Bombyx mori: one gene and its partners. The main gene of each other region encodes a partner of the protein of the gene in region 3 in a complex. Links are inferred from orthologs where the notes say so. Each region holds a gene or a part of one and is shown on either strand. Other genes may lie near its edges.

What was found.
Region 1: DNA replication licensing factor Mcm5 (region 3) and DNA replication complex GINS protein SLD5 share a complex: the UniProt entries of both Homo sapiens proteins name them as parts of the CMG helicase complex. The link is inferred for Bombyx mori from reciprocal best matches to the Homo sapiens genes MCM5 and GINS4.
Region 2: DNA replication licensing factor Mcm5 (region 3) and DNA replication complex GINS protein PSF1 share a complex: the UniProt entries of both Homo sapiens proteins name them as parts of the CMG helicase complex. The link is inferred for Bombyx mori from reciprocal best matches to the Homo sapiens genes MCM5 and GINS1.

The regions. Positions count from the first base shown.
Region 1 is NC_085121.1:9,241,717-9,252,224, reverse strand, and holds DNA replication complex GINS protein SLD5, read right to left. Parts: upstream 5,414-10,508; 5' UTR 4,217-5,413; coding exon 3,640-4,216; intron 2,958-3,639; coding exon of another isoform or gene 2,935-2,957; exon of another isoform or gene 2,283-2,934; coding exon 2,209-2,282; 3' UTR 2,189-2,208; downstream 1-2,188. Other genes in the region: ATP-binding cassette sub-family C member 4, read left to right, coding at 13-118, 619-810; opsin-1, read left to right, coding at 5,551-5,557, 8,314-8,479, 8,581-8,701, 8,786-8,903, 8,972-9,185, 9,559-9,706, 10,040-10,150. UniProt on the Homo sapiens protein: Required for correct functioning of the GINS complex, a complex that plays an essential role in the initiation of DNA replication, and progression of DNA replication forks.
Region 2 is NC_085118.1:17,157,891-17,168,040, reverse strand, and holds DNA replication complex GINS protein PSF1, read left to right. Parts: upstream 1-4,551; 5' UTR 4,552-4,681; coding exon 4,682-4,753; intron 4,754-5,015; coding exon 5,016-5,080; intron 5,081-5,919; coding exon 5,920-6,370; 3' UTR 6,371-6,486; downstream 6,487-10,150. Other genes in the region: cact (cactus), read right to left, coding at 1,057-1,331. UniProt on the Homo sapiens protein: Required for correct functioning of the GINS complex, a complex that plays an essential role in the initiation of DNA replication, and progression of DNA replication forks.
Region 3 is NC_085131.1:8,495,040-8,505,376, forward strand, and holds the start of DNA replication licensing factor Mcm5, read right to left. Parts: upstream 7,067-10,337; 5' UTR 6,958-7,066; coding exon 6,803-6,957; intron 6,729-6,802; coding exon 6,581-6,728; intron 6,568-6,580; exon of another isoform or gene 6,272-6,567; intron 5,639-6,271; coding exon 5,531-5,638; intron 5,381-5,530; coding exon 5,208-5,380; intron 4,912-5,207; coding exon 4,833-4,911; intron 4,652-4,832; coding exon 4,493-4,651; intron 4,379-4,492; coding exon 4,141-4,378; intron 3,730-4,140; coding exon 3,536-3,729; intron 3,219-3,535; coding exon 3,078-3,218; intron 2,604-3,077; coding exon 2,427-2,603; intron 2,229-2,426; exon of another isoform or gene 2,057-2,228; intron 1,436-2,056; coding exon 1,191-1,435; intron 1-1,190. Other genes in the region: dynein beta chain, ciliary, read left to right, coding at 8,459-8,467, 9,185-9,289, 9,447-9,617, 10,241-10,337. UniProt on the Homo sapiens protein: Acts as a component of the MCM2-7 complex (MCM complex) which is the replicative helicase essential for 'once per cell cycle' DNA replication initiation and elongation in eukaryotic cells.

The DNA of each region.
Region 1 (10,508 bases), on a different chromosome or scaffold from region 3:
TTTTGTCCTCAGTACTGATGCACTGATCCAGAAGTCTATTCGCAAACATTTTGCGGACTGCACCGTTGTCACAGTCGCCCATCGACTACACACCGTTGCGGATTCTGATCGAGTTGTGGTAAGTCAATCGTATTCACTATGGCTTTTTTTTTTAATAATAAATTTGTAATATATTTTAAGTAGTGATATTCACTGGTAAGCCCGTCGCTTTGACCGGTTTGGCTTTTGTATATATATGTGCAGTATCCAGAGGGTTTATTTGCAACAAAAAAATGGACGGTCCATTTTATAAGCATTGACCAATCAACACTTCAAACTGCCGAGCTCGGAGTCTGTTCCAATCCCAACCATATGCTAGATTAACTAATGTTTAAAATAGATAAGCTATTAACAACATATATATTATCCGAATATAATTTTTAGAATCAACGTGAGATTTTGACCTCGTGTCTCAAAGGCGATTTCTATCTGAATTCACGTAGTGAAGTTTAAGAGCTATGATTTATTGTTTAATATCCTTCTTGTCGTGACTTCGTCTACTCGTATTCACAAATTGAAAAACAACGAATTATTAATGGCTGTGCCAGTCTTATGAATGTGCTCAACATTTGCTTGTAGGTCATGGAAGCAGGCCAGATCGTCGAATGTGGCCACCCTTACGAGCTACTTAAGAACGATAACGGGCATTTCTCGAAAATGGTTAAACAATTGGGTCCCGCCTCAGAGCAGAGCCTTAGAGAACTTGCGCGGGACGCACACGCACAACACATACAATACGTCGACGCGGACGACCAGGATAAAACGAAATAACTGAACGTTTTATTACGTAACAGAAACGTTAATATTATGTAACACACGTACTCGCCTATTTGTCATAATCGTCATTACAAATTGATAGGTACTTCAGTCCAAAAAGTGGCAGGCGGCATTCCGTTGTGGTGTCTATGAGCTCAAATAATTACTTAACAACAGGCGAGTCGAAAGCCGGTTTTATGTACGATGTACTTAATGTGTTACTTAAATTTTGATGGTACTTAATTCGTTGGTACAAGATTACTTTCAAATTAATACATTGCCATAGCTGGGCAGCCAAGTTCGAGATACACTTGGTTTTAAAAGATTACAAGTATCCATAGACTCCACAGTTGAATACCCTCGACGAGAAACTACCGCCCGCCTTAAAACGTCAGATCGAAGCTTTAATTGAGGCAACATTCACAGGTTCCCACTGTTTGCTGTAGGTTTTTTTAATGTCGTATTTACTTGATAATAGCATTGGCGATGTTTATATCTAATTAAGAATATTATAAAGTCCCGGTAACACTAACATAGATAAGTAAGAAATTATATCCACCACAACTGTTAAATTACTATTTTAAACGGTTGTCACCAAAGTACACGTCGTGTCTCTAAATTAATAGTGCATGGATATCTTTAGTCCAATTCACATTTACAGGGTCATAACGAACTATTTGTTTAAATTATTTATCTACATATACCTATTTTCACAAAGAGTTTATTTCTGTTACTTTTAAATAATGAGGAAGCTTTAAATGTTACCAATAATAATCATAGTACTTATTTAGTTATACATATATGTATTTAAATTATTTTATTTACAGTCCATATTTAATACTCTATTTATAAGCAATCTTTTAAATTTGTATCTTTGCTTTATGTTTGTACAATGTACATTTTACTATGGCAACATACAAAAAAGTAACTTATTACACAATATGTTGATTATAATAAGGTTTTTATCGAATATATGTAGATTAATGTTTAAATTTTAAGATCTGCTAGTAAGGTGCTGTTCATTATAACCTAACCTAGCCTAGCTAGCCAATAAAATGTATCCAAATTCCAGATATATTTTTGTAAGGAAAAATAGTAAGCTGTCAGATTTAACTTAAATATAAATAAGTGCTTTATGAAAAAATATTGTGATATAATTACAAATAAATTTACATTGTAGTTTTTTAATGTTTCAACTGTCTATTCTTACATAAGTAGTAATTGTAACTTTGAAATATATTTAAATTTTGTGAGATTATAATACTTCAGTACTTATTGTGTACTTACCTTGTATATTTATTATGTTAATTTACAATAAACTGAAAGTAAAAATTAATTTTGTTTAATTTATTAAACTAGCTACAAATGTTTTAAAAATAAATGAAATACAAAGTGTTTACAGAAAATTTACTATCATAACAATGTGACTTTCCCGTTCTTTAAAAGATCTGCAATTGGTTTGTATTGCAAGATGTGCTGCGAGCCCTCTGAAAGAAATAAGTAGTATTAAAGACATTATACTGCATTTTATTTATTCTTAGTCTGAGCCCACACTTTTAGCAAGATTTTTACTTAAATAAAAAAATTTAATTGTAAACAATACAGTAAAACTTGTGGCTGTTATTAACAAGTTAACATTTAGTATAGTGAAAATCATGAACAGGTAATCTTCCACAGAGCAGTAATTATTTCTTGTGAAGCCAGTAGTCCAAATGTTGTTTGAAACTTTTATATATCTTAGATTTTTCTTGTATTTTTTTTTGCATGGTTTCAGTTTTTGCTCAATTTTTGTCCTATGATAGCTACTGCTATTTCAGATTTAAAATTCTATGACATTCCCTAGTTTTCTGAGGAAATGCATAAACTTAGTATTTATATAGATAGCATTACTGCAATTACAAACCTACGAAATTAATAAATTTGACTTTACTGGTGTAAGTATATGGTTGGGCTACATACCTACAATAAAATTTAGACTTTAAATTGAAATGTTAAGGTAATTACAAGCATTTTTACATTACAGCTTTATCATTTAACATCTTACTTACACTTTCACTAGTGGTACGGTGTCTTGTGAGCCTGCATGATGTGTACCACCACCCTGCCTATTTCTGCCATGAAGCAGTAATGCGTTTTGGTTTAAGAGTTGGGGCAGCCATTAACTGAGTCATAAAACGGAGACTTAGAACTCTTGCCTCAAGGTTTTAATTAAAAAAAATAATAATTTTAATTATAGCACAACTTTGCACTTTAGATTAGTTTAAAAGTATAAGATTTTAACTCCTATGGTAAATATCATTCACTGTGTTTGATTTTTTTTTATTTCTGAGATTGCTACATAATGTATGTTCAGAAGTGTTGTATGTGTCAGACATACACAATGTTAAATGTTCACCAAAATCTATAAATACTATAAAAAGTGAATACCTCCTGAGATATGAGGTCTAAGTCTCCATTGTCTAGTATGGGGACTGTCCCCATTCTTCAAACTTCATGACTGCTTTATGGCAGAGACTAATTAATTGGTGACACATTCCCATATGGCCTACCACCAATAATTATGGGATATTATTTTTATTTTGGCAAGTTTATTGTTTCCATAGTGTTATTTCTTTTTTGTGGATTAATCAAACAGAATTAGATTCAATTTAAGACATATATAATCAAATCATTCAATATACCATAATATTATTATTTAAGTCATGATAACTTCAATGATATAGGTGATATCCTGTGGTACAATAGTCAAGGTCATTAAACCAACAAGGGTATTGCTCTATCTATCAAAGTATAACAAAAGAAAACCTATAATGTGTTTCAGTTGTGAGAAAATCAATAACAAACCTTCTAAGTCAATTTCTTCATCTTCACCAGTCAAGTCTTCTAATACAACCCCATTAATGGTTTCATTGGCTTTAAGGAATACATGCGTTTGTAAATTAGGATGTTCTGCCATTTTGTTCATTTCAAAGACTTGCATATTACCAGGCATTTTATTTAATACCACATTTTTCATATGATTTTCCATGTTCAAAACATATTCTTGAGCATATTTATATTCTGATGGTGTTAGGTAATTAGTATCAGTTTCTATTCTTTGTCTTTCTTGGTTTAGTATTGGAATGCAATATTTTTCAATCTTATTCAGTCTAGTTTTAAGATAATTACAAATAATAAATTTAATTCTGCTAATCTCCATTTTGTGTATAGAAGTTCTCAAATCAGTTTTTGAAAGTTTATTTATGTTTCTTTCCATGTGTTGTATTTGACCTAACATACATTCTACCATGTCATTTTGATGAGGGAGTATTTCTGGGGACAATCTTTCATTTTGCCAAGCACTTTGTAGTGTTTTTAAAACAGTCTCAGCTGTTACTTCTTCTTCATCATCACTGAACTGCAACTCTTCGGTTGACTCCATATTCTTCTAAATTATATATACCCACAGAATTCTAGTGCAACTTTAGATTGTCACTGAATGATATTATTCTAGCTTTCACGACTCGAATTTGAGTTCTGGTGTTTTTTAGGTTCTAAAGAGCTTTTTTTACCAATTCATTATAAATTTAAAGAGTATATAATCGCATTCATGTTTCACTACATTACAATCATAGTTTTTTTTTCTTTTATCTTTTTCTTTTATTAAAATTTTCTGTATTTTTGTCTTGCTTTCTGTACTAAACAAATTGTTACTTTATGACATACCTCAATTGTCATTAATTTTTTTTTTCTTCTGAATAGCACGGGATTTTATTTCTACTACCTTTATTGAAATAATAAGTTTATGGTAAAATAATGTAATTTTTTTTCTCACAGATTTTTTTGCTTACTATTTGTTTAAAACTTTGTTGGTTTGAACTAGAGATGGCGTTAACGGTTGAATTTATTTATCTGTTAACTGGTAATTGATAAAAAAAATTACCGATATTTTTATTGGTTGAAAATACCGGTAAATCTTTTCGTTGAAAAATTAATTTTGCTAATGTTAAACTTGAATGGTACTAGCACTTTTCGAAATGATCCCATATTTCTGCATTGCGTTTCGGCATTTTAAATTAGATATACAATTTAAAAATCCACAACAACAAAGTAAGCAAAGTCTCAAACACACAAAAACAAAGTCAAAACACACAAACACAAAGTACAAATCTCTTAAAATACAAAAACACAACTTTACCAAAATAATAGAAAAGATGCACTGAGCCACCAAAATGTCAAGTACCAAACAAAATATTACGTTTAAAAAATCAACCAATCACGTCATCTTCGCGTTCGGTAAAAATATCGTTTCATTTCAATTTTTTAACGAAAAAAATTATCATTAACTGTAAAATACACCAACTTAAATATTGTGCTTTATTTTGAGGGGTATAGAGCATACAATGAAATCATAAAATTCAATATTTTTTACATGATAAGTTGAAGACATCTGCAAGGCGAAAATGAATCTTACGTGTTGAAATAAAGTTGAAACTTGCATAAATATAATTTCCAATAATTGCCTATGCCACTACACGCAGTGTGTTTGGTAAACGGTATTTTTAACCGTTTTGGGTAATTTTATTTATCGAATAGAAGTGTTAATTTTTTTTACCGGTAAATTTATTGGTTATTGGTTATATTAGCCACCTCTAGTTTGAACCAATGTTTTATCTATTTCTATCATAAGTAATACTACGAAGAGTGAGTGAGCAGCTATGAGTCTCGATGATATTTAATATCAAGTTCGATTTCTACAAATGATAATGTTCCTGTATGTTAAGTATGTTTCTCCACTGTGTTCTTGAACAAAGTTTAGTAGTGAAGGAATAACATCGAACGCTGTAATAAAATTAGTATAAGCCGCCATACCATCTTGTTTATTTCTTGTGCAAACCAATCATCATCCTGGTTTGAAGGGTTGAATGGTTAATATTTTTAAATATTTTTTTATTGCTTCATGTTGTGGAAGTCTCAGTAGTAATGGGTGCTCGAGCCATCCTAGTAGGCTTACAGCAAGCCTTATCTTACTAGTAAAATTAGGGATGAAGAGCAAGAAAACGAAAAAAGTCGATATTCAGAAGAGAAAAGCCAGTGCTGACACTATGAAAGAGTGCGTCGCCTCCCACTTAAAACTACATATTATTTTCAAAACTCGTCTGAATATAGCTTTCAGAAATACTTTGCTATAGAGTTCATCCTAGAATTATTTCTAGAAATGAGCTGTGGATGGAACAATGAACTCTACTTCGGACATTACTACTGAAAGTTGTTGTACATGTGCTTGGTACAAGCACACTGACCATCCCGTAAATACATTTACATTATTCATTCTAAATTTTACTTAAAATAGAGCCGTGGGCCGCGGGACACACCTAGTTTGTTTTAAACAATTAATTGCAGTTTTTGTATCGAATAATGTACGTACGTACTAGCGAAGACATTTAATCTTGTTAGCCACATAAACCTGCTTCTTTGAAGTCGCATAACTACATTACCTCAGTAATACAGAGCTGTACTTACAAATATCTGTACTTACAAATAGCTGTACTTTGCAAATATCAACCGTACTATAACGGCGGCACTTAAACATAGTTTATTTTATAAATAACTAAATTTATTACTAAATTTCAAAATTCTGCTGACCGTTTCCTTGAAATTAGTCCACATTAAGCACTTTGCATCTTAAAATTTAGTTTTTTCGTTCCAAAATTTACGTATGTGCTCCATTGCTGCTCTTTTTGGAATCACCCAGATCTTTTGACACAAGTAGACTTTAATCAAAAATGGCTTAGAATCGATTCTTAATATGCAGCTAAACGAGCTAACTTGGACCCATGCATCCCTACCCATCCGTTTTGGTGGTTTAGGGACTCGCAAAATTTCTCGTGTCGCTTTACCAGCCTTCCTATCTTTTGTCCATAGTTCAGCAAATCTCATAAGTAAAAAACTTTGAGATTGCTGGCTTGGAAGAAGCTAGAAACGCTTTCTTAATTGGATGCCCACGTCAAAATTTTCCAGTTTCTCTAAATTCACAGAAGAGCTGGGACGACATAAACTGCAAATTGACATATGACAATCTTTTGAGCTGTAGTACAGGTTCGGCGCGTGCTAGGCTTTTGGCTGTGGGTGCGCACGAGGCCGGCTACTGGATTCACGCGTACCCTTCGTCAAATACAGGAACATTTCTTGAGCCTGACACGCTCCGAATCGCAACCTGTGTACGGCTCGGGGTTCCGGTCTGTGTTCCTCATAAATGTCCCTGTGGCAGTGATGTCGACAAGCTAGGACATCACGGACTGTCTTGCCAAAAAAGTGCAGACCGCTTCTCGCGACATGCCGCACTTAATTATATCATACGCCGGTCCCTTGCCACTGCCAACGTGCCAAGTCTACTTGAGCCGACTGGTATTGCAAGAGACGACGGCAAGAGACCGGACGATATGAGTTTGATTCCATGGAAGATGGGCCGGGTGTTGGTATGGGATGCAACCTGTTCAGACACGCTGGCCCCTTCCCATCTACATGGAACCTACAATAAAGCTGGTGCGGCTTGTGAAGCGGCTCAAAAAACCAAAGCATGCAAATACAGGGTCTAGGCTCGGAATATGTTTTTGTTCCATTCGGTCTCGAGACCCTTGGTCCGTGGGATCCTAGCGCTATAAAGCTTTTTAAGGAAATAGCAAAAAGGTTAGTCGACACCACAGGAGACCGAAGAGCTGGCAGCTACCTTGGACAAAGAATTAGTCTAGCTATTCAAAGGGGGAATAGCTAGACTAATTCGCTGTCAGTATCTTCGGAACCTTGCCTAAAGGGACTCCTTTTAATAATATATTTTAGTTATAAAATTATTATTTTTATTCTTTATTATATAATATTATTTTAATATTATTAATTTAGTATTTAATTTTTAATTTAATATATAACATATATTTTATTATATTAACATATATTTTATGTCTAAGACGGATAATTTTCCACATTAGAATGTAGGTAAAGTAATTATTTCAATTTGGAATAATAAAATCTACTTTCGTTTTTTTTATTCCATTAGCATGAAATATTAATTATTTAATTTAAACATATTATGTTAAACGGTTAAACCGAAAATACAACTTTCTTATATCATACATTATTATTATCATTTTCAATTGTAAATGCAAACCTGTAAAATTCACCCTCAAGATAATAATATATTCACCTTCTAAGACATCGTATATCTTATTATGAATATTGATTTTCCTGCAACGCAACATTAATCCTCGTTAGGTATATAAAACAGAGCCGTACTAGTAAAGACGAGTAGCCTCCACGGCCTCGGCAATCCTGCCACACTTCGCACCACGAGATCGGTTTACTGTAATTAATCTGAAGTTCATTTAATGATTTCCTTCAGTATTTTATACCCATTTCAATACATAATTAAAGTTCACATTCCTTCTTTGTGAGCAAAAAATGACAAGTTATTTTTATTTTAATTGAATTGGAAGTAATTGAATTTAGATTACTATTTCCTAAAATTTCACTTTAATCATTCAGGTTACGTAGTCAACTTTAATAGTGCGAAAATGATTTCCTTGGATCCTGGACCAGGAATGGCAGCTCTCCAGGCGTGGGGTGGTCAAGTGGCTGCCTACGGAGCCGCTAACCAAACCGTTGTCGATAAAGTACCACCTGATATGCTACACATGGTCGATCCTCATTGGTTTGTTGTTAATTCATATTTTATTTTAAATATCATTCAATGTTGTATTGCAATAACAATTCGTAAACTAAAGTGATCATTTTTCAACGACTTCATTTCAGGTACCAATTTCCACCTATGAACCCACTATGGCACGCCCTATTAGGCTTCACAATCGGAGTTCTTGGCTTCATATCAATTTCGGGTAACGGAATGGTCATTTACATTTTCATGTCAACAAAGGTTTGTGAAAATAAATAACTTTTAAAATGCCGAAACTTTACGTCGGTAGATCGATTTTATCTCATGAAATGTACTATTTTCCAGAGCCTTAAAACACCATCAAACCTTCTCGTAGTGAATTTGGCATTCTCAGACTTCCTCATGATGTGTGCTATGTCTCCAGCGATGGTCGTTAACTGTTACAATGAAACTTGGGTTTTCGGTTAGTAAAAATGTTGCGAATAGAGTTTTTGTTTTTAAATAAATTTATTAAACATCATCTCCTTTTAGGACCTTTTGCATGCGAGCTATATGCTTGTGCCGGTTCATTATTTGGGTGTGCCTCGATTTGGACGATGACAATGATTGCTTTCGACCGCTATAATGTTATTGTGAAGGGCATTGCGGCAAAACCAATGACGAACAACGGCGCTCTTCTACGCATTCTTGGAATTTGGGCATTTTCGCTAGCTTGGACTCTTGCACCCTTCTTTGGCTGGAATAGGTGCGTAAACTGATCTTGAGGTACTTCAGAATTAATTGCAATTCAATAGACCACAGAAGTGCCCATGAAATACAAAATATATAATATTTTTTTTCTTCTATTGCTTATATGGGTGGACGAGCTCACAGCACACCTGGTGTTAAGTGGTTACTGGAGCCCATAGACATATACGATGTAAATGCGCCACCCACCTTGAGATATAATCTCTAAGGCCTCAAGTATAGTTACAGCGGTTGCCCCGCCCTTCAAACCGAAACGCATTACTGATAATATGTATATATCGCTCAGCTCAAAAGACTTTTTTAAATTTGCCTTGAGCCTGCTGCCTCAATGCGTAAAATGCATGTGCAACAAAAATATTTTGTTTTTACAGATATGTGCCTGAAGGAAACATGACTGCATGCGGTACTGACTACCTGTCTAAAGATTGGTTTAGCCGCAGTTACATTCTTATTTACTCCGTTTTTGTTTACTTCGCCCCACTTCTTCTCATCATATATTCGTACTTCTTCATTGTGCAGGTTTGTTTCACTATTCATCAGTATATTATTTATTGTCTGAGATAGGCAATTAATATTACTGTCCGTCAGATGTTATATGGTTAGCTGAGCCTGTAAACACCTTAGCGTGAAAACTGACGTCTAGTCTTAAACCTGGTAAATCAAATCATCAAATGAATAGAACGTCTTCTACTGAAACAACGGCTACTTTCGAAACTTTCTAATGACTACTTCGCTGAGAAAAGATGCAGCGCAATGGTAACCCCCGTGCAGGACCGTAAAATAGCATGTTCTGGCGCTTTGATAATTGTACAATCAATTAAACGTCCAGACAAAAATAATTTAACATTACAGGCCGTAGCTGCCCACGAAAAAGCAATGAGGGAACAAGCGAAAAAAATGAACGTCGCCTCTCTCAGATCATCTGAAGCAGCCAACACCAGCGCTGAATGCAAACTCGCCAAGGTACTGTAATTACACGACACAGTGTAGGTGCTTTGTAGTCACACATAAAACTTAAACAACAACAAACATTTAACGGCCGTTTTGTGTAGTGGTAAGTGACATACTCACTACACAAGGGGGTCGCGGGTTCGAATCCAGCCAAGGGAAGATATTTGTATGATAAATATAAAATGTCTTTTCCAGGGTTATGGATGTATATTATATTATATAGTAATATGTATGTGTATAATAAAAATCTTACATTTATTTCCATTATCTGGTACTTGTAACACAAGTTCTTTACGAACTTAGCACGGGACCAGTTAACGTGGCGTGATTGTTAGTAAATATATATTTATAATATATATATACTGTCAAA
Region 2 (10,150 bases), on a different chromosome or scaffold from region 3:
GGCAGAGCCAAATTGCTTCCTGCCCCTGAGTATTTTCTATAAATCTTGTCAACCAACCTTCCAACATTATAAGGCATTTGAGAAACATCAAAGAGAGGAGTTAATTACAAAGCCAGATGGTACATGCCAGAAAATATCTCCGGAAATGCACTGTGGATAAACACAGTGGTTCTACACAGAGTGGACAAAGGCTACTGCAATGGCGGGCAGTGCATGCAATTTATTCATTACAGAATTTACAACATATCATGTGCATATTACCGTATTAGGCTACAACGCTTTAAGTTCATTTTTGTTACTGTACTGATAAACATTTTTTTAAATGAAGTTTATGTTATTGTACCCTGTTAAAATATAATTGAACTAGCAACTTTATATCAATATATTTTAATATGCTTTATAAAATGCTAAACTACGAGAATTAACGCTTTAGCAAAAAGTTTAAAGCTTAATAAAGAAACATGATAAAAATTGGTTTTATTTAACTGCATGTTAATTCAAAATAGATTTATTAAAATAGACGAATGAAAGGATATAGTAAGCACCTTAAACGTAAAGTTGCTATTTCTCTCATTTATTTCACTGAACACAGGGAATTTCTTTTGTTATAGTTCAAGTTTCATCATGGTTTTAATAAGAATACATATTGTAGTTTAGGTCTGTTGACTTATTACAAACTGTATTGGCTGGGTAAGATTGTCATATTAATTTTCTTGGTGAGCTGAGGTTCTTGCACAAGTATAATTTGATAAAATTTCCACATTAACAATGTTTTTTTTTTAAATATGCCCTTCGTAGGTAATTAATTGACTTTAACAACAACAAAAAAGTAATTTGATAAATCTCAAAATATATTTAAAAATCTATCATTAAACTAAAAGGTAAGCAAGGAGTGTTTCTCGAAAAAGTATTTAATAATAGTAGTAGTGTCAAATCAAGTTAACAATGTTGTTTAAAATTATAGGGAAAAATTTCATGCACAGACCCCAAAAAGCCAAAATGAAGAATTTTTGTTGTTGTTGTAAGAGTGCGTGGAGTATAATGATTTATACATACGTGTCTCCGTCCTCGTCCTGTTGGAACAGTAGATACAGCGGAGGAATGTCTGCGGTACTCTGTGCAGGACTCTGAACACTAACCATTACTTGTGACAGCCTATCCGTAATGGATTTCACTCCACTTTCACCTTCACTATTCTTTTCATCATAATCGATCATCCCTGAATCGATATCATTACTATCACACGGTCCTGATATTTCACCAGTAACAAAACCGGAATCAGCGTACTCGTCCTCGCGCAATTTCGTTTCGGAATCTTTTTTGGCACTCATTTTTGGTTCAATTCTATACGACCGTTTTCAATTTTAACAATAATCTTATCGTTTCACTATTGTTTATATTACAATTGTTTATGAACACGGAACCATGTTTTGACACAAAAATGTCGCGTAATAAACAGCCTCACTACAACGAATGCGCGTGCACAATGCGTGATTAAGATTCAATGCTGGAGTATTTGTGACTACATAAGGCTGCCATTTTTTGTTTTTATTAGCATTCGTCATTACGTCACTTTCTAGAGACATGTTCGGAAACACTGTGTCATGTAAATTGTCTACAATCTACATCACTGCGTGATGATTTAATCTAAAATATTTTGTTTGAGTTGATAGATATCCTTAGCAAAAACAAAGTAAACATAGACATAGACAGTGACAATAGGTGTCTTGACTAGTAAAAAAATATCTGTTGGTTCGTGAAGTAAAACAATATAACAAAACTGTGATTTCGATAAAAATAAACTAAAACATCCACGTTTTTTTTTTTTTTTTTTATTGCTTAGATGGATGGACGAGCTCACAGCCCACCTGATGGTGAGTGGTTACCGTCACCCATGGACTTCAGCAATGCCAGGGGCAGAGCCAAGCCGCTGCCTACCGCTTAATACTCTCCACAAGCCTAGTTTGAAGAAGGACATCTCATAGCGCTCGGGAAACACCGTGAAGGGAAGCTCATTCCATAGGCGGATGGTACGTGGCAAAAAAGACCTCTGGAAACGCACTGTGGATGACTGCAGTGGCTCCAGGTAGTATGTATGAACTCTACTCCGGTGGCGGGTGGTGCGATGGTAAAAACGAGATGCCGGTATCATCTCGAACAATTCCTCAGAGCACTCCCCATGGAACATACGGTACAAAATACAGAGGGAACCGAAGTCCCTCCGTAGACCCAGATGCTCCGAAAAATTCTCTGAGAGTCTACCTTAGGGGGGTGCAGAGATGAACCTTGATAGGTGTAGTGTGATAGTGATATTACTTAAACATATGTGTATATATAACATACATAATATTTATAGATACAAAAACTCGTACTTAAATAAATACATTTACATAAATATATATGTATAAAATATATATAAATAAATATTATCAATTAGATGACTCTGATAACTCTCTAGAAACAGTTCTCGAACCCTCATCTTAAACGCTTCACGTGTAGTGGCCGACCTTAGAGAACCGAGTCAGAACTATATGGAGGACAGCGAAGAAGAACATTGTGAGATGAACGAAGATTTCGGCTGTGGTCAGACCCTAAGTATTGAAAGGAAGTAGTTAAATAAGCAGGTGGATTTGGGGAATGCAACAAAGAGTAAAGAGTACCGAGAGCACGCAAGCTACGGCGTTGTCGAATGGGGAGCCATTTAAGTTGGGAGCGATGAGAAGATACGTGATCGTATTTCCGAAGATCATAAATAAATCGAATGCAGTTATTGAGAAGCCGGTTAAGTTTATTGAGTAGATATTATGCATTCAGGTCAAAGTAGCACACATCACCATAGTCGATCAAGGGGAAAACCAAAGTTTGAACGAGTATTGTCTTGGTCTCGGGCGGAAGGAAATACTTCAGGTGGTAAAGCATACGGAGTCTTTACGACGTTATCACGTAAAACTCTCGTCCATAAGTAAACTTTATAGACAGCTGTGGACCCAATAGAAAGAACTTAAAATTTCCATTTGGTGTTTATTCTTTCATTTTACAATTATCGACTCTTCGGATCAACAAAACTAGAAGTTGTAATTGTTTGGTATTGTGGCCACAAAAAGCAGACGAACATACGTTACTCATTGAACAATTCCATTGCGTATTATGTGGGAGGGGGAGGGGGGGGGGGGGTTAGGGCGGGGGATATTATCTTGTTGAACACCCAGTAAAACGAAGTCACTTTTTGATTCCTGATTTAATCAACAATATGATAACTTAATTCACTTTAACATTTATCCAACCTTAACCAGTACGTAAAACAGTCACTTAATCACACAATGTAACAAGGATATAGTAAGTGCACCGAGCAAACGCAGTCGGCCGGGGCACCTGGCTTATCTATGAGTCACTCCTGTTGCACGTGCTGTTTTACGAGTGGAGTGACACGGCCGGCGCACCTGGCTTGTGTATGACTCACTCCTATTGCACGTGCTGTATAACAGAAGTAACGTTAACGCCGTCATAGATATGTTACTGCTTATTATTTCTGTGTGTTAACACAACGTAACGACATTGGGAATGTCGTTGGTGTAGAGAGCGTAGAGGATCGGTGACAGGATACCTCCTTGGGGAACCCCAGCTGTGGCTGGGCGCATCCACGATTTAGCGCTCTTGACCGCGACAAAAAGAGTTCTGCCCTCCAGGTACGACCCCAGTAGTCGCACGTAGGCGTGCTGGAAGTCCGTGTTCTGCACCAACTTGCAGATAAGCCCCGCACGCCAGACACGGTTGAAGGCCTTCTCGAAATCGAGAAATACTGCCGCCATGTACTGGCGTGCGTTGGACCGTCAAAAGGTGCATAACGCAGACCAATTGCAGCGTTGTTGAGTGACTGCTACGTATCCAGAATTGCTCGGGTCTGAGAAGGATGTGCGGAGACACTCTTCTCACCAGCAGCCGCTCGAACAACTTGCCCACATACGACAACAGGGTAATCGGACGATAATTGGAGGGCTGTCTTCTGTCCTTCTAAATTCCCGGGAAATATCCTGTAGACAGAATGTAATTAAACAGCCGTGTCTTAAAAGACACGACTGATTCTAGAAAGTGGAAAAATGCAAGGGTGAGAATACCGTCCTCACACAATGCCTTGCGCCTCTTTATCCGCTTGATAAGGAGGCGCAATTCAGCGGGAATGATGAAATCATCATGTCCCAGAGGTGGCACCGGGAGGTTAGTTTGCACGTCGAACACTTTGTTGAGTTCGACGAGTACGGTTATCAGGGTCCCTAAGTCTGCTCCTAATGTTAAAGTTGAAAGCGTCTTTGCAAGAGTAATTGGATCTGATGGTCGACCCGATAAGGAGAGTGAGATTATTATTGGCTGTATTGCTACTAAGTGATTATCTGTAAAAAGTTACTTGTATGACTTAGCTCCCACTTCTAGAAAATTTTAATATCTTAAGATTAGGTTTTGGTATTATAGATTTAAAGATCAAGGCTTCTGTGATTTTCGAACTCATCCAAAAATGATGCGTATCCGATCATAAAATGTCAAATTTACTATCTGTCACAGTCTTGAGCTGTCACTCATCAAATTAATAACAACTTTCGCGCCAATGCCAAAAATGTTTTTATCTAAATTATTAAAGTATTTTGTTTGTTATCTCTCTCATTGTTAAGTAAATAAGTAACACACAATGTTCGCAGAAAAAGTTATAGAACTAATTAAAGAAGTAGATAGAAATCCTGACACAATAGATCAATATAATGTAAGTTGGATGTGCCCATCTAGGTATGGGATTGGAATTAGAATAAACTTGTTATATCTAATGAAAGCTTTAAGTTACTATTTAATACCGAAACCAAGATTTTATCCGGTTGTCATCTATTCTGTTTGTCTATGCATATGCACTATAAAGTCAGAAATCCATTTAGAAGTGACAAGTATATTAAATTATTGTTATAGCACCGCCTATTATTATTTTTGTGTCTTTTAATCTTATAAAGTACATAGTATTTCACATGTTACAGGATGAAAAAATACGCCAAATAATAGAAGAAATGCATTTATTATTTAAATTGAACATGAATGATGCGTAAGTCACTGGTTTTCTACTAATATAACTGCAAGTAGTTATTGTTCAATATGCAAGATTTGCTATGATCACTTCTATTCTGTAACCTCCTATTCTGTTTCATGTGATGCAAAAGTGCTCAGGTAACCTTGTAACTCCAGGAAGGTCTATTTTTGTTTTTTTTTGTCAATCTATTGCTACTAACCTCGAGGGGTTATGCTAGCTTCATGGGATTTGAGGTAGCCCTGAGATCTCTCACCCAATTATGCAAAAAAAAGTTTTATGACTTTTTTGTTTTATAACTCTTCACATTCAAGCAGTTTGGATAACTTGCCCAGCAGATTTGATAGCTTTACTGGTTGTGCTTGAGTAGCACAGATATCTCACCCAGCAGATTTGTTACAGCACTACGGTTATGTATCTGCTTAAAAATACTTTAGTGGACAGGCTTGGCTTCAATTTCTAACCAAATCTTAGCTCAGCTTATTGAGTTTTTTTACAGTGTAGTTGTTTTTTAATAATAGTACTAATTATTGTTTTTGGTATATAAAAAAAATAGAGAAATGTGTGTTTGTTTGTTGATCTTAAAGTACTTTTAAAATGTTTCTCTAATTTGGCCAAAATCGGTCTGAGTTGCTGGTCCGCACAAACGAAAACGTCATTTAGTGCAAAGGGGTTAATATTTTCATGCACTTGAGTCTCATGTGGTGTTGTAATAAGGTTACCTGCTATTAGTCCATTTTAATTTAAATTTCAAAAATATGTAGTTCAATTGCTCATCAAGTTCATTTATAGAAGAAGAAGATAACAACAAACTGTTTTATGATTACCGCTTGTATTAATTGAATTACTATTTTTAGTAATGCTACAACAGAAAACAGATCATTGTGGACCACAGTTCAAGTAAGACATTCTGCCCTTGAACGCAATAAAAGGTGTATATTAGCCTATCTCTACAACAGAATGAAAAAAATTAAGACATTACGTTGGGAATTTGGTGCAGTACTACCTCCAGATATCAGAGAATTGCTTTCTGATGATGAATATCAATGGTTTTCAAAATACTCTGGAAATCTTGCTTTGTATATGAGATCTTTAGGCCAAGATATAGGATACAGTGGCATAGACTTGACTGAAAATTTAAAGCCCCCTAAATCATTGTTCATCGAAGTGCTTTGTGTTGTGGATTATGGTAAATTAGAACTTGAAGATGGTGATGTGGTTATGCTTAAGAAGAATAGCAGACATTATCTTCCTACTTCGGAATGTCAGACTTTAATACGACAGGGTATTCTGAAACAAATAATGTGAATTTATTTTATCAATAGTGAATTTTTGACCATTTTATGTTTTAAATAATATTGTGAAAAATAATGTTTGATGTCTGTATGGAAATAAATTTTATGAGAAGATTATTTTTACCATAAGCTTAGTGATTTGACTTGATTAGATTTGCACCTCCTAATAAAGCAAGTGTGTGTCCATTTTTTTTACTATCCCTGATGGGTGAAAGAGCAGTCATAGTGGCCTAAAGAATATAATGCTTGCTGTAGTCAAATCAAATGATGCAACAATCAATATCATCATCAGCCCCGAGGTCTCCTAATATCAGACTTCAGACTTAGAACTTTTGTTTAGGTGTGTGGCAGCATTTGCGTTTTTGATATTTACGTGCCCTGTTAATGAGCTGGCATTGAAAAAAACTATTTTCTCAAAAAAGATACAGCGCAGTTTTTTTTTTTTTTTTTTCCTACCTATGATGGTAGCCTTGAGGGCTCAAACCTGATGACGTTGCTAACACGAACCCTAGCAAGAGCCGTGCTTCGCAGAATCTACCACCGGATCGGAAACGCGACCCACTGAGAAGATACGGCGAGAAACTCAGTGGGCTGTGTCTGGGAGTTAATTTACTCGTCGAGCCCTTCGACGGGTTCGACGAGAACGGTGACCGGTGCTTGAAGTACCTAAAAGCACCGTTAGTGGATCGGGACGATCCGAGATGACGTGTTTTGGGCGACGTCGACTGCTTTCCATTCTGTCCGCAGGATCGGGAATGTAGTTACTGGCGGCCACGATGAGAGGGTTCTCGTGTCGTGCCGCTTTATCGAAGTGGCGCATCGACGCCGACTGAAGATACTTACTGATGGACTCTAAGTCCAGGTCGTCATGGAGGTCGACGTTCCTGACGAACCACGGGGCTCCGACGGCTATCCTGCAAAAACGGGATTGAATAATTTGGAAGGATTTAAAGTGAGTGCGGGCCGCGTGAGCGAACACTACACTTGCATAGGTCATGACGGGGCGTATGCAAGTTTTGTAGAGTGTCACCTTATTTCTAAGGGACATTTTACTTCGCCTGCATATCATCGGGTAGAACAGCAAAGATATTAATTTATCTAGCATAGAGGCAGGCACTAAAAACATCCACAAAACTACAACTAAAACCAGTCTGCATTTTCTCTGTAAACTTCGCTTTAACTAGGTAATATTACAATATTGCATGATCTATTTATCAACCAAACACTTAACCAGTCTCGTAAAGTTAAATAATGGATAAAGTTGCAGCATTAGAAGTTCAGAACAGAAAATGTGCAATGAATTATTAATATAATAGGTATATTTATATTTATTACTAGCTGACCCGGCAGACTTCGTAATGTCTCAATCGATAAATAAAATACCTAAGCTTTTATATAAAATAAACTTAAAACAAACAAAATGAATCCGTCCGACGGGGGACACAGAGGAAAAACAAAATTGTTATTTTTATTTAATACCGAGCATTTTTATATTTATCTACCTTTTAAACCTTTACATTAGCCAAAGCGGTCCAGCCGTTCTCGAGTTTTAGCATAGACCTATATAGTAACTTCAGTGAGTTTTAGCGAGACTAACGAACAGTAATTCATTTTTATATACAGTCGACTCTCGTGAATTCGAAACTTGAGGGACTCATAAAATATTACGAATTATCGAATGTTTGAAATATCAAATGGTTCGAAATTTGTGAGAGAAAATAAATAAAACTTCGAATTACTAAGTATTGATCAATAATTATTTATTAACTGCTATTCTATAACAATGAATAGTAGTTCTTTTCCGTACTCCAGCAGTTTGAGCAGAATTAATTTTCTCCTTGTGCTTTATTATGGTTGAGAGAGTACTCAGAGGAATCTTAAATTCTTTTGCAACATCACTTTTCTTCTCACCTTCCTCTACTTTTTCGATTAACTTCTTCTTTTCAGCAATCGTCAAACATTTATACTTTCTAGGACTCATAATTAACACAAACTTTTAATCTGCATACCAACGAAAGACTAACCGTAACTGAAACATAACTAAACAAACCAATTCGTGGGGAAGTGTGAGTTTAACTAATCATAACAATAACAAAGGCTCGTGTATGTTGATACCGCTGTAGTAGGAAACCTATAGGTCTATGGTTGATACAAGTTTGAAGTTGTCGCAAAATGTACTTACATTACAATCATTCGACCTCTTTCTCTCTGCAACTTTGAATTGTCCAGTGTTGGACGCCGATGAGTTCGAATTAACGCGTCGTTTTATTATATAGCAATGATTTTTCGTTCGAATTACCAAGTGCATAAAAATGTATTGATTTAGTTCGAAATATAAAGAGATTTTGTAGGGAACTCGTGATAACTTTAAATTATAGAGAGGTTCTAATTATCGCAGGTTGGAATTAACGAGAGTCGACTGTAGGTATATAGATAACACACGTAATTGCGACGTGATAGTAGCAAATAGTTTTGTAAATTTTGTTTTCTTGTAATGTTTTCGGTTTTCGCGCGTAGACATCATTATTATTACTTAAACTAATATAATTAATTTCACACTTTATTTTATTTTCGAATTCCGTTCTGAATATTTTACAATATAATACAAACCGTTAAAGAGTTATATGTAGGTATGTTTAATTATTTCTTACCCCTTAGATAATTTAGTCATATACGTTTTATACCGTAGTACAGAAATTTGACTGGTAGTAGAAATGTTAGGTACGGCGTGATATTAACCTTGATGGACTTGTATAACCACCCAAAACATAAACAGTGGGTTTTTCAGCTCGAATATCTAACTACGGGTCACAAAGAAACACAGGGATTCCCAAACAACAGCAGATTAAAAAAAAATATACTTATATTTTACAGTCCAACTCCATCTGTCATAGGCAGACTTTCCATGAAAATCGTGCATTGAATACCTGGGCCACTCGCCGATTCAGAGTCCGTTTATGTTTTCTTTATTGTGCCGAAAAAGCGGCCGTCACTGACACTCGACTTCGCAACTTCAAATTAAAAAAGTCGACGAATTTCATAGAACTCAGTTTTGTAAAGAACAATGTTTCTATTTCGTTTCGGACGTTTGGATGGACAAAGTTTCTAAGTTTAAATGGAAGTGGGATTCTCATTTTACGTGAGTCACTTTTGTCATACTGCAAATGGCGAACGGGTGGTCTCGTTCGCATTTACAAATATATCTTTGCCTTTCAACTCCTAGGCGGCTTTTTATTTTATTTCCCTTCTAGGCACACGAGCATACGGCCTATATGATGGTGAGTGGTTCAGGGTCTTCAGCAATGCCAGGGGCAGAGCCAAGCCTCTGCCTACCATTAAGTACTCTCCAGAAGCCTCGTTTGAAGATGGACATGTCATAGCGCTCGGGAAACACCCTGGCTCGTTCTAAAGCCGGTACGTAGCAAAAAATATCTCTGGAAACGCAGTGTGGATGAACGCAGTGGCAAACACCGTAGAGGGGACTGGACCGTTTTTTTGTGTTTGAGCGGTTCCCTCTAAAGTTTTGTTTTCTAATTGGATCCGGCAGGTGGCAATTTGATAAAATGTCAAGTTTTTAAGTTTACGAACAGAAAATCGTCTGCGGTGCTTGCTATAGTAGTACATATCGACGGAGAAAGCGGAATTGTCGTAACGTGAAAAACCTAACTTTACACGAGAACCCTAAATATAATATGTTAAAAAGAGATTTAGCCCAAAATTCAAGTTACGACATTTCCGCTTTCTCCCGTCGATATTGTATTGTATACCTACCTATACTATACATATACATTAG
Region 3 (10,337 bases):
TTTACGAAAATTGCGCGAACGGAGTATGAAATTTCCCACACTTATAGAGAACTAGCTTTTGCCCGCGATTCCGTCCGCGCGGAATAGTTACTTTGGCATAACGCAAAATTTTACCCCCAACTTCATTAACGTAGAAAGTGAAAATATTTTGAAACATTATTGGTGCTCCACTTGTATTGGTCTTATCGTGATATTATATAGCCTATAGCCTTCGTCAATAAATGGGCTATCTAACACTGAAATAATTTTTCAAATCGGACCGGTAGTTCCTGAGATTAGCGCGTTCAAACAAACTCTTGAGCTTTATAATATTAGTATAGATATAGAGAGGGACTGCAGAATGTTAATATTTTTTTAAATTATGCATAAAAAATACATTAAATCAATAATAAAAAACATTAAACACACTACCATGTATGTAACACATACATACACACGCATGCATACTATTTGTTTGTTGTCAAAGTTTTCTTATTGCTTATAATCTGAGCTCAAATGGAGAATAGATTAAATATTGTTTGTCTTTATTTACATTTATCTGAAGTGTAGTTTTGGCGAAATCTGTGATTATAGAAGTATAATAATAGTCTTTGACAATTGAGAGAGGGAGTCTCTCTCTCTCTCTCTCTCTCAATTGTCAAAACTATTACATACCACACCAAAACACAACATCAGAAAATAGTTAACAAGCAGATACGTTTGTACAATAGGCGGTCTTATCGCTAAAAGCGATCTCTTCCAGACAGCCGTTTAATTACCCGAAATTCTGGACAGATAAAGATACAGCATGTATGTTGCGGTGTACTATTAACAATACACTATTAAAGAAAATACATAAATACAATAAATAAATAATACCGTTAAACATAAATTAAACATAAAAAACAAAAATTATTAATCTTATTATGATGAATCGTAATAGTGTATTTATAATTTTAATTAATTATAGACGAATTTCGACTACCGGGGGACCACTCATCTTCCTTGCGTCGGTTTCCTCATTACTGAGGGTTGTGGTCATGGCCTTGAAACAGTTTGTTTTTTATAATGCACCGCCATTTGTTCCTATCTGCAGCTGAGTGCAGAGCATCGTGCACTGTGGTATCAAGGGCTGCTCGAATCAAAATTAAAAAAAATAGGGGACCACTAGTATTAATAAATTCTGGTGTTAAATGTAGGATGAAAGATACCTAACGGTGATGGGTATGGAGAGACGCTTGTCGGCTTGTCGCTCGTGTTGCAGCGCGCCGGTCCGCATGAGCACGTAGCGCGCCTGCAGGCGGGCGGCGGCGGGCGGCGCCAGGCGGGGCCCGCAGCGCGCGCGGCAGTACGCGCTGTACCGACGCAGCGTCGTCAGCGGCAGCTCGCCCGCCGCCGCCGCACGCTCGCTGCTCTCTCCGCCCATGTGCACGCTGATTATGTGCTTCGCGAGCGTCTGCCGAGGGCCGTTAAGCATGAGTATTAGGGCCGAGTCACAACGGAATGGCAGCGCTGCGGCGATCACATTCAGTGTAAAATAATTTTAAACTTTATCTATACACTTAAAAGTATCGCTTGAAAAGTTTGAAAAGGTTGCGACACAGCCGTCGGCCGCTGCCATTCCGCTGTGACTCGGTCCTTATATTAAAAAGACTTGATCGTCAATATTGCTATACGTGTATAATTTTAAATAAATTAAATTAAAGTTCTATAATTTAATAATATATTATTAATACCTACGTACTAGTTTCTTTTTGTAATATGTTTTTCGGTGAGTACAGGGAACAGTGTACTTTAAACGCGAGATGAAGTTGCTGTGCACGTGCATCGATGTTACACAATTTTTTAAAAGTAAAATTCTTAGTCATGGACGTGGAAGGTGGACGATAATTTGAAGTAGAAAGATGTTACGTAGACAAAAAGAGAGCTAAATGTTTAGACTCCACGAAGGCGGAGCTAAAGAGAGTAACACAAATTAAAAAAAAATTAAGACACCAAGGGTGTATTTAAAAAAGACATACATGTGTGAGTTTATAAATCACATTTAGATTTTCAAAAGTGAAAGTGTAAAAGAAAGCCAAACGTCTTTCTATCACGTAGAAACGAAGCAGAGGAATAATGTTTTTTTTTTAATGTGATAGTATTAGGCTAGGCGAGTGACATAGGCTACCTTTTATCATGTAAAAACATCTCGTTCCCGCGGGTAACTACAACGACATTAATGTTTGAACACGCGAGCGAAGACATGGGTAATAGCTAGTAGTAATTATATAACGTCACAACAATTTTACTTCGTTACCAGCGTACACACCATTTTTTGTTCAGATTGAGGAGGGCAAGGACAAGATTGTTCTGTCTCTTTACTAAAAGCGCGTGCTAGTATGTATTTTCTATGGCATTATTAATGGTCTAATGCTTCTGAAATAACTGATATAGGCTATACTCACTATATCTCTGTTCTGATCATGTTCATCTTTGACTATAAAAATCATGTCGAATCTGGATAAAATTGTTGGCATGAAATCAATGTTATCATCAGCTTTAGTATCGTCCCATCGTCCGAATACAGAGTTGGCGGCCGCCAGGACAGAACAACGAGAATTTAATGTAGTGGTGATACCCGCCTGGAAATAAAGCAATATAGTATAATTTTGTATTTATATTTTTCTGGTGGTAGGACCTCTTGTGAGTCCGCACGGGTAGGTACCACCGCCCCGCCTATTTCTGCCGTGAAGCAGTAATGCGTTTCGGTCTGAAGGGTGGGGCAGCCTTTGTGACTATACGGAGACCTTAGAACTTATATCTCAAGGTGTGTGGCGCATTTACGTTGTAGATTTCTATGGGCTCCAGTAACCACTTAACATCAGGTGGGCTGTGAGCTTGTCCATACACCTAAGCAATAAATAAATAAATAAAAATGTACCGAAATAATGAAACAGGTTGAAATTCTTTTTGTGAGCAATGAGCAAAACTGGTTATAAGGACGAAAAGTAATTCTAGAAGTTTGAGTTCTGTTGCAAGTGTTGAGTTGCATCTGCTTTTTTTATTATGATCAATAAACAATTGTTAGTTAGGATAAGAGGGTAATATGAACTCACCTTAGCAATAGAAATAGTTTGTTGTTCCATTGCCTCGTGTATGGCGACGCGATCATCTTCTCTCATCTTATCAAATTCGTCTATACAAACAACACCACCATCAGCCAAAACCATAGCCCCTCCCTCCATTACGAAGTTACGCTAATGATAAAAGAAAAAAGATACTGTAGTAATTTATAAAAATGCATAACCTCAATAATAAATCCAATAGAAATAACGTCTAATTTACATTAGAATGCAAAATTATTTTAGAGTTGAAATGAGCAAGATGTATGTAGTAACAGTATGTAAGAATGAGTAATAGCAAAGTAGTCATTTGATAATTTAAAAAGTTGATAATTAGCGATTGTTGGGGAATTATTGATTGTTGAATTGGGATTGTTGGTTGTTCAGTTCTTGTCAGGTTAAACAGAATGAATGTGTTTGGGCATTCTGATTAAATTACTAGGATTTCTTACGCTTCCAGGATCTCTAATGACTGAAGCGGTGAGACCTGCTGCACTCGAACCTTTCCCTGAGGTATAAACGCCAATCGGGGCAACCTTCTCCACAAATTTTAGCAATTGAGATTTGGCAGTACCAGGGTCTCCAAGTAAAAGTATATTTATATCTCCTCTACGAGTCAGGCCATCCGGTAGGCGTTTTCTAGATCCTGTAAGTAGACATGGAGTAACTAGTAATGAAGAACATATGATCTAAGGGTGCATTTAAAAAAACAGAAATATAAAAATACTCTACAAACATTTAAGCCACTCTTAATTGTACGGGTTGTGAAATCACTCTTAAGAATGAAAGGGTAATGAGGTACTATCCTACTTTTAAGTAACAAAGGCAAATATTTTTTTTTTGCCTTTTTAATAACTCCAGAATGAGAGCCAAAGTATATGATAGCACAACCTCTAGAACGCCACTCTTTCTATAGAAATTTATTATTGATACATTGTATTCGTGTTACATTGCATGCAAACAATATTTGTTGCATTAATGAAATCATTACATCCATCTTTCGTTTGCAAGAGTTTTTCCAATACAACCTATTCATTGTTTTGTTGTAATTTGTTACCTCCAAAAAGCAGACAAGCGATAGCTTTCTTCATATCAACAGCACCAAAAACACTTGGAGCAATGGACTTTCCGATCCTTTCATAAATGTCTGGAGAGGCAGCGAGTCTTCTGAATTGCTCTTCTTCTTCTGCAGTAAAGGGTCTCAGGCCGCTAGTGACACCTTCCTCTGCGGTGAGCCCTACGGCTCGTAGGTACGATGACCGGACGCCTACGGAGCCTTTGTCGCGACCCTCGCGCTGTAAATGTCAAATCACGAACTACAATAATTCGCAGGCTCGAAGTTTTGATAAAATCATTGGCATAATTATTATTACTGTCATTCTTAAATGATAGTCATATTCAGTACTAACCCCTACTTTTGCTATCTTTTTTATAGAATAAATCCCCAAAACCGTGACTCGTGCGCCTGGTGCAACACGTTCGCATAATGTACGATCACAGTATACAGTCAAATGCCTTGGCATTTCTCCTTGTGGAATACTTTCTGGTGCTTCTTGAAGTTTCAACACCTGTAAATTAATTTGAAAATCACTGTTTTTATATCTCTTATTATTTCTAAGATATTCACATGTGCACACTAAACTAAACCATTAATACTTTTAATATGATGCATTTCAAAACATTTCTGACAGTTATAAATAGAAGTATTGTAATGTAATTTACATAATGACATCTTAATACTACAATTACCTGATAATCGATACATTTGCATTTGTCGGGAATAATGAAATATGGATCTAAAGGACATTTAGGACGTCCAGATTGTTCTCTGAAAATTGAAACATGAAATGTGTAAATGAAAGAACAAAAATGAAGATAAATCACGAATGAGTTTAGGGAATATATTATCTAGAGCAGTCTCAAGATATAACCAGGGTATAGTAATTGAGAAACTTTCTTCCATAGATTCTCCTTTTTCTTCATATAATAAAACATAAGATTAGTGGCTTAAAATCAAAACTGGTATGACTCAGTAATAGAGAATATTTACTTTAGGTTCAAATTTAGTGGTCCCAAAGAACATACTATTTTTAAAATTGGGATACTTTAATGAAATTAACTTACGTATTGCATTTTCTTGGCATGACATATCCTTCCAGACCTGGCTTCACAGGAAGATTGGGAATAACATTGCGGCATGAGCGACATTGTATGGATATTTTTGTGGCTTTTGCTTTAATACCGGATGCTGATATTACAATACCAGGAATCTTCACTAGTCTTGATACAGTTTCTGACTAAACAAAATTTTTCATTTTGTATTTTGTCATATAATCAACATTTATTTTACTAACCTAAATGTATAGACAAGCTCATAACGAAATGTTAATTAAATTTGAATCTGTTTACTATTTTTAAATTTTATAACTAGATAAATATTAACTTACTTTAAGCTCCCTCAAATTTGATGAATGTGCATCTGATGACAAAAGCACTTGAATATCCTCAACTTTCTCCTCACCTTCTGGTCTCGGTGCAGTCAACTCATCAGCTAACTGGAAAATGTACATTAGTTGATTGCAACCTTTAGGTGCTGCATATCAAAACAAGCAGAGGTTAACAGATTATAAAAAAAATAAGTTTTTTTTTTTTTTTATTGCTTAGATGGATGGACGAGCTCACAGCCCACCTGATGTTAAGTGGTTACTGGAGCCCATAGACATCTACAACGTAAATGCGCCACACACCTTGAGATATAAGTTGTTAGGTCTCAGTATAGTTACAACGGCTGCCCCACCCTTCAAACCGAAACGCATTACTGCTTCACGGCAGAAATAGGCAGGGCGGTGGTACCTACCCGCGCGGACTCACAACAGGTCCTACCACCAGTAATTAGGCAAATTATAATTTTGCGGGTTTCACTTTTATTACACGATGTTATTCCTTCACTGTGGAAGTCAATCGTGAACATTTGTTGAGTACGTATTTCATTAGAAAAATTGGTACCCGCCTGCAGGATTCGAACACCGGTGCATCGCTTCAACACGAATGCACCGGACGTCTTATCTTTTAGGTCACAACGACTTCAAAACAGTCTCTTTCTTATGTAGGTTAAATTTAGAATGTTGTTACACTTATCTTAAGTGTGATTGAAAATAGTATGATAATGACTATAGCTTTATTTCCAGGTGGATGGTGGCATTCTCGTGTATGATGTTTAGACTTCAAAAAAAACTAGTCAACTCAGCCTATTTACTCCTTATCTAGTTTAAAGATAGTTTTGTTTAGTAATACCTTTAAATTTTTTATGTAAGGATTTTAACAGCTCATATACACTGTATTCAAGTTTTACTATATAATAATTTGGTCCAAAACAATTTAATGTTACAAGTCTCTTTAAGTGGGTGTGCATTGTCAAACTATCCACAGTTTTATTGAAGGAGTAATAAATAATTAGTTATACCATAATATTATGTATCAACAACTTGTCTTAATACCTCTTTAGCAGCTTCTTCTAGTATAGGCAAATGTTCAGTTGGTTTCTTGTATAATTTTTCAGCAAGAACGTCATCAAAACTAGACAAATCTTCAATATTTATCTCGACCCAATATTGGTTTAGGTTATAGTTGCGTTTGAGGGCATCTCTACAATTTGTATCAAGGAATGAAGTTTAGTTTGAAATCCTATGCTAGGTACTGGTTAAGAAACGATTTTTTACCTGTATTTGTAATTGAAGTTTCCAGTATGAAACTGTCTCATGAATTCTTTGAATTTCTTTTTGACTGCTTGTAAATTAACATGATCTTGAGATTCGTTTTCTTCTACACCAAAATTATCAGAGAAAAATACACCAGGATCATCAAAACCTTCCATGTTACTAAATCACAACCTAACTAACCCGTTATATGTTATTTAATTTAAATTTAAAACTAATTTTATCGTCACTGACAAGTTTACCTTTCCCAAACACATTTAATTGGCGCGAAACTTTTTTTTTTAAGGGATTTTATGACCTGGTTACTAAGACCTTTAGGTCAAGTCTTATGTTAATATAAATGATAACTTTTTTTTAAGTTAAATGATATTATGAAATGAAGTGAAGTTGATTATTAAGAAACATAGCATGAAATGAAATGAAAACGAAATAAAATGAAATGAGATGAGATGATATGGGATGAAATATTGTCTCAGTAAAATAGTGGTTATTTATTGAGACTTTTTGGAAGATCCCGAGAAGCTACATCCAGTGCCTTTGTTTCTTTGCCGCATTTGTGCAGGTCTATCCGATGATTTGCAAGCAAAGTAAATTGTCCTTTCGTAATAAGATGACATTATACAAAATTTGCATACGTCCAGTCATGAACTGTGCAAGTGTAGTGTTCGCTCACGCGGCTCGAATTACTTTGAAGCCCCTTCAAATCATCCAATTCTGTTTTTGCAGGATAGCCGTTGGAGCACCGTGGTTCATGAGGAACGTGGATCTTCACGACGATATGGAGTTAGACTCCATCAGTAGGTGTATACAGTCAGAATCGGTGCGTCATTTTGAGAAAGCGGCTCGACACGAAAACCCTCTTGCCGTGGCCGCTGGTAACTACATACCCGATCTTGCGGACCGAAACAGTCGACGTCGCCTTAAGCACGTCATTTTGGATCCTCCTGAGTAGGTGCTTTTAGGTACCTCGAGCACCGGTCATCGAAACCGTCGCGTGCGACGAAGGGTTCGGTAAGTAAATTAACCCACAGACACAGCTCACTGAGTTTCTCGCCGGTTTTCCTTTTCAGTCGGTTGCGTTTCCGCTCCGTTGGTTGATTCTGCGAAGTACTGCTCTTGTTGGGTTATTGTTAGTAACGTCCTCAGGTTAGACCCCCGTGAGCTCACCTACTAGTTCAGTGACGCTGGCATAACCCTCTAACGATACCACCGTAGGTAGAAAAAAAAGTGATTCATGCCTTCCCGTTTGGATTGGGACAGCCACTATGCAATTGAGACCTTACTGGAGCATGTTGACATCACAATGTGGATGTTGGCACTGCACTTGAGTAACAAAACACCAGAACAATTTAATTAATTGAGCTTGAGTTCGAAGGCTCAATTTCAATTTAATAAAATCATTATACCTAATATTTTTATTTTATTTGTTTATTTCTCTTTAAAATTAAAGGAGGTGATCATTTTTAACATTTCATCGCTACTATTTTAAAACCTCAACTGTTTGTAAAATTTAAATTACGGCGGGGTTGCTATGGTTACGAATTTGTTGATTAAATATCGATCGATTGTTTTGAGTTGTATGCAAATATCTCTTATTTAATTACGCAAAATGAAAGTATAACGAATGTTATCTAGTTAATTTATGAGTCAAATTTAGTCATGGGAGATGTAAGTGAAAATAGAAGTTATTTTTAATTAAATAGGAGGAGATATTTTTATAATTATTTTGCCTTTGTCGACATTGGCGATAAATATTCAATAGACACTGAACTGACAAAAAGTAGTAAATTAAGCCTATTTTGCAATATCATAAGGGCCTGTATACCATAAGAATAAAAACGTATAAGCATATTATGTTGCACGTATGCGTTTTTTTCCCCAATGGGCTACCCAAAGCCAAATTTATAGGATTTTTTTCAGCAAAGATGTTCCAATGACTGGAACGATTTGCGATTTAACCTTAGATAGTGCAGTCACGGGCTAATCTAGCACAGTATGCTGTCTCTTGTTCAACTCCTACAGCTTCATTGTCATTTTAACATTACACATTTCTACTGTGGAGTATTTGAAGCGCCTGAAATTATAGTGAAATAAATGAATTAAAAGAGAGTAACAGGTTATTTTTAAGAACTTTATGGATATTTGGAAATACAAAATTAGATTAGCCTACAATAATTATTTTTTCACAACAAATAGAAACAACAAGAGATCACTCGTTTATTTAATTTTTAATTAAGAATGGGCTGGTTAAACTATGGATATTACTATAAATAGATTAAATGATTTACGTATGTTAATTTTGAAAATCAACAAAATAAGGTTTAAATAAAATAAAATGAAAACGATTTTTTTGCACGTAACCTTTATTTTGGTTGCTCATTTTAGAAAGAAGATGTCGATACTCGTCTGGAGTTTATGAGTGAATACCTACTGAAGACATTAAAGCAAAAGGCAGACAAGTGGGCTAAGTTCATCACTGGAGATGAAAGAGTGGGTTTAATAAGCTCTTATATGTTTATTAGATAATTTAATTACTAACGCATTTTGATGAAAATGCAATTCAGAAAATTGTATAACCTGATTACTTGAGCACTTAACACCAGGTTCATTCACCACTCTATGCAATAAATTGTTTGTTTAATTTCAGCATATTCTATTTAGATATTTTGATATGCCAAAATATGACATAATAGTCTTTCGAATGAACACGGCTGGCATGCTAACATGTTCGACAAGTTTTCCACCTATAAGCAGGGGAAAGATGGTTTATTTCCTAAGAAATGTTGACGATAAAATAACACAAGCCAATTTTCGTAAGGTACTTATTTATTTATTATTTATGGCTACGAATTGTTTTAAATGTGCGCGACAATTTACACTATTAAAATATTATTTAGTGAGCTCTCACCAGGATTGTTTTAACCTAGTACGTTACCTTTAAAGGTCTATGGTTACCTTGAACCACGGAATAGATACACAAGGTTATCTATTCCGTGCCTTGAACGGTTTTGAAACAAGCGAGAGTGTTGACCGGAACTAGGCCTGTATTATTATTATTATTATAATGAAGTGTCGTGATTATGACGGAACCTCAGTTGTGTTCAATTAAAATCTTACCCGGACATATCTAGTTCCGCACAAGCTCTACAAAAAGCGAGTACGAGTAAATTTCCACCGTAAATAGACCCGTAGTGTGTATTTGCGGGTACTTTTTCTTTTTGACTACCTTATAGTGATCCTGAGCACTGTAACAAGGTTTTCATGGTTGGAGACAATATTCTTGAGGAAATTCCGACATACATATATAGCAAGAAAATTGTAGCTTCAGTCAGTTGGGTTAATGTGAACATCACAAAATCCGATGAAATTGGGATTTAATTACTTTATTCAGCCTATACTACTACTGAGGATGATGATGAATTTTCGTTTCTGACTTTTCAGGCAGTAACTATAGGTGAAATGTCAGGTAACGTTCTGATGGATCTGAGCGTGTTGGCCGATGAAGTAATAGGGCCTATGCTTTGTAATCCAGAGAATC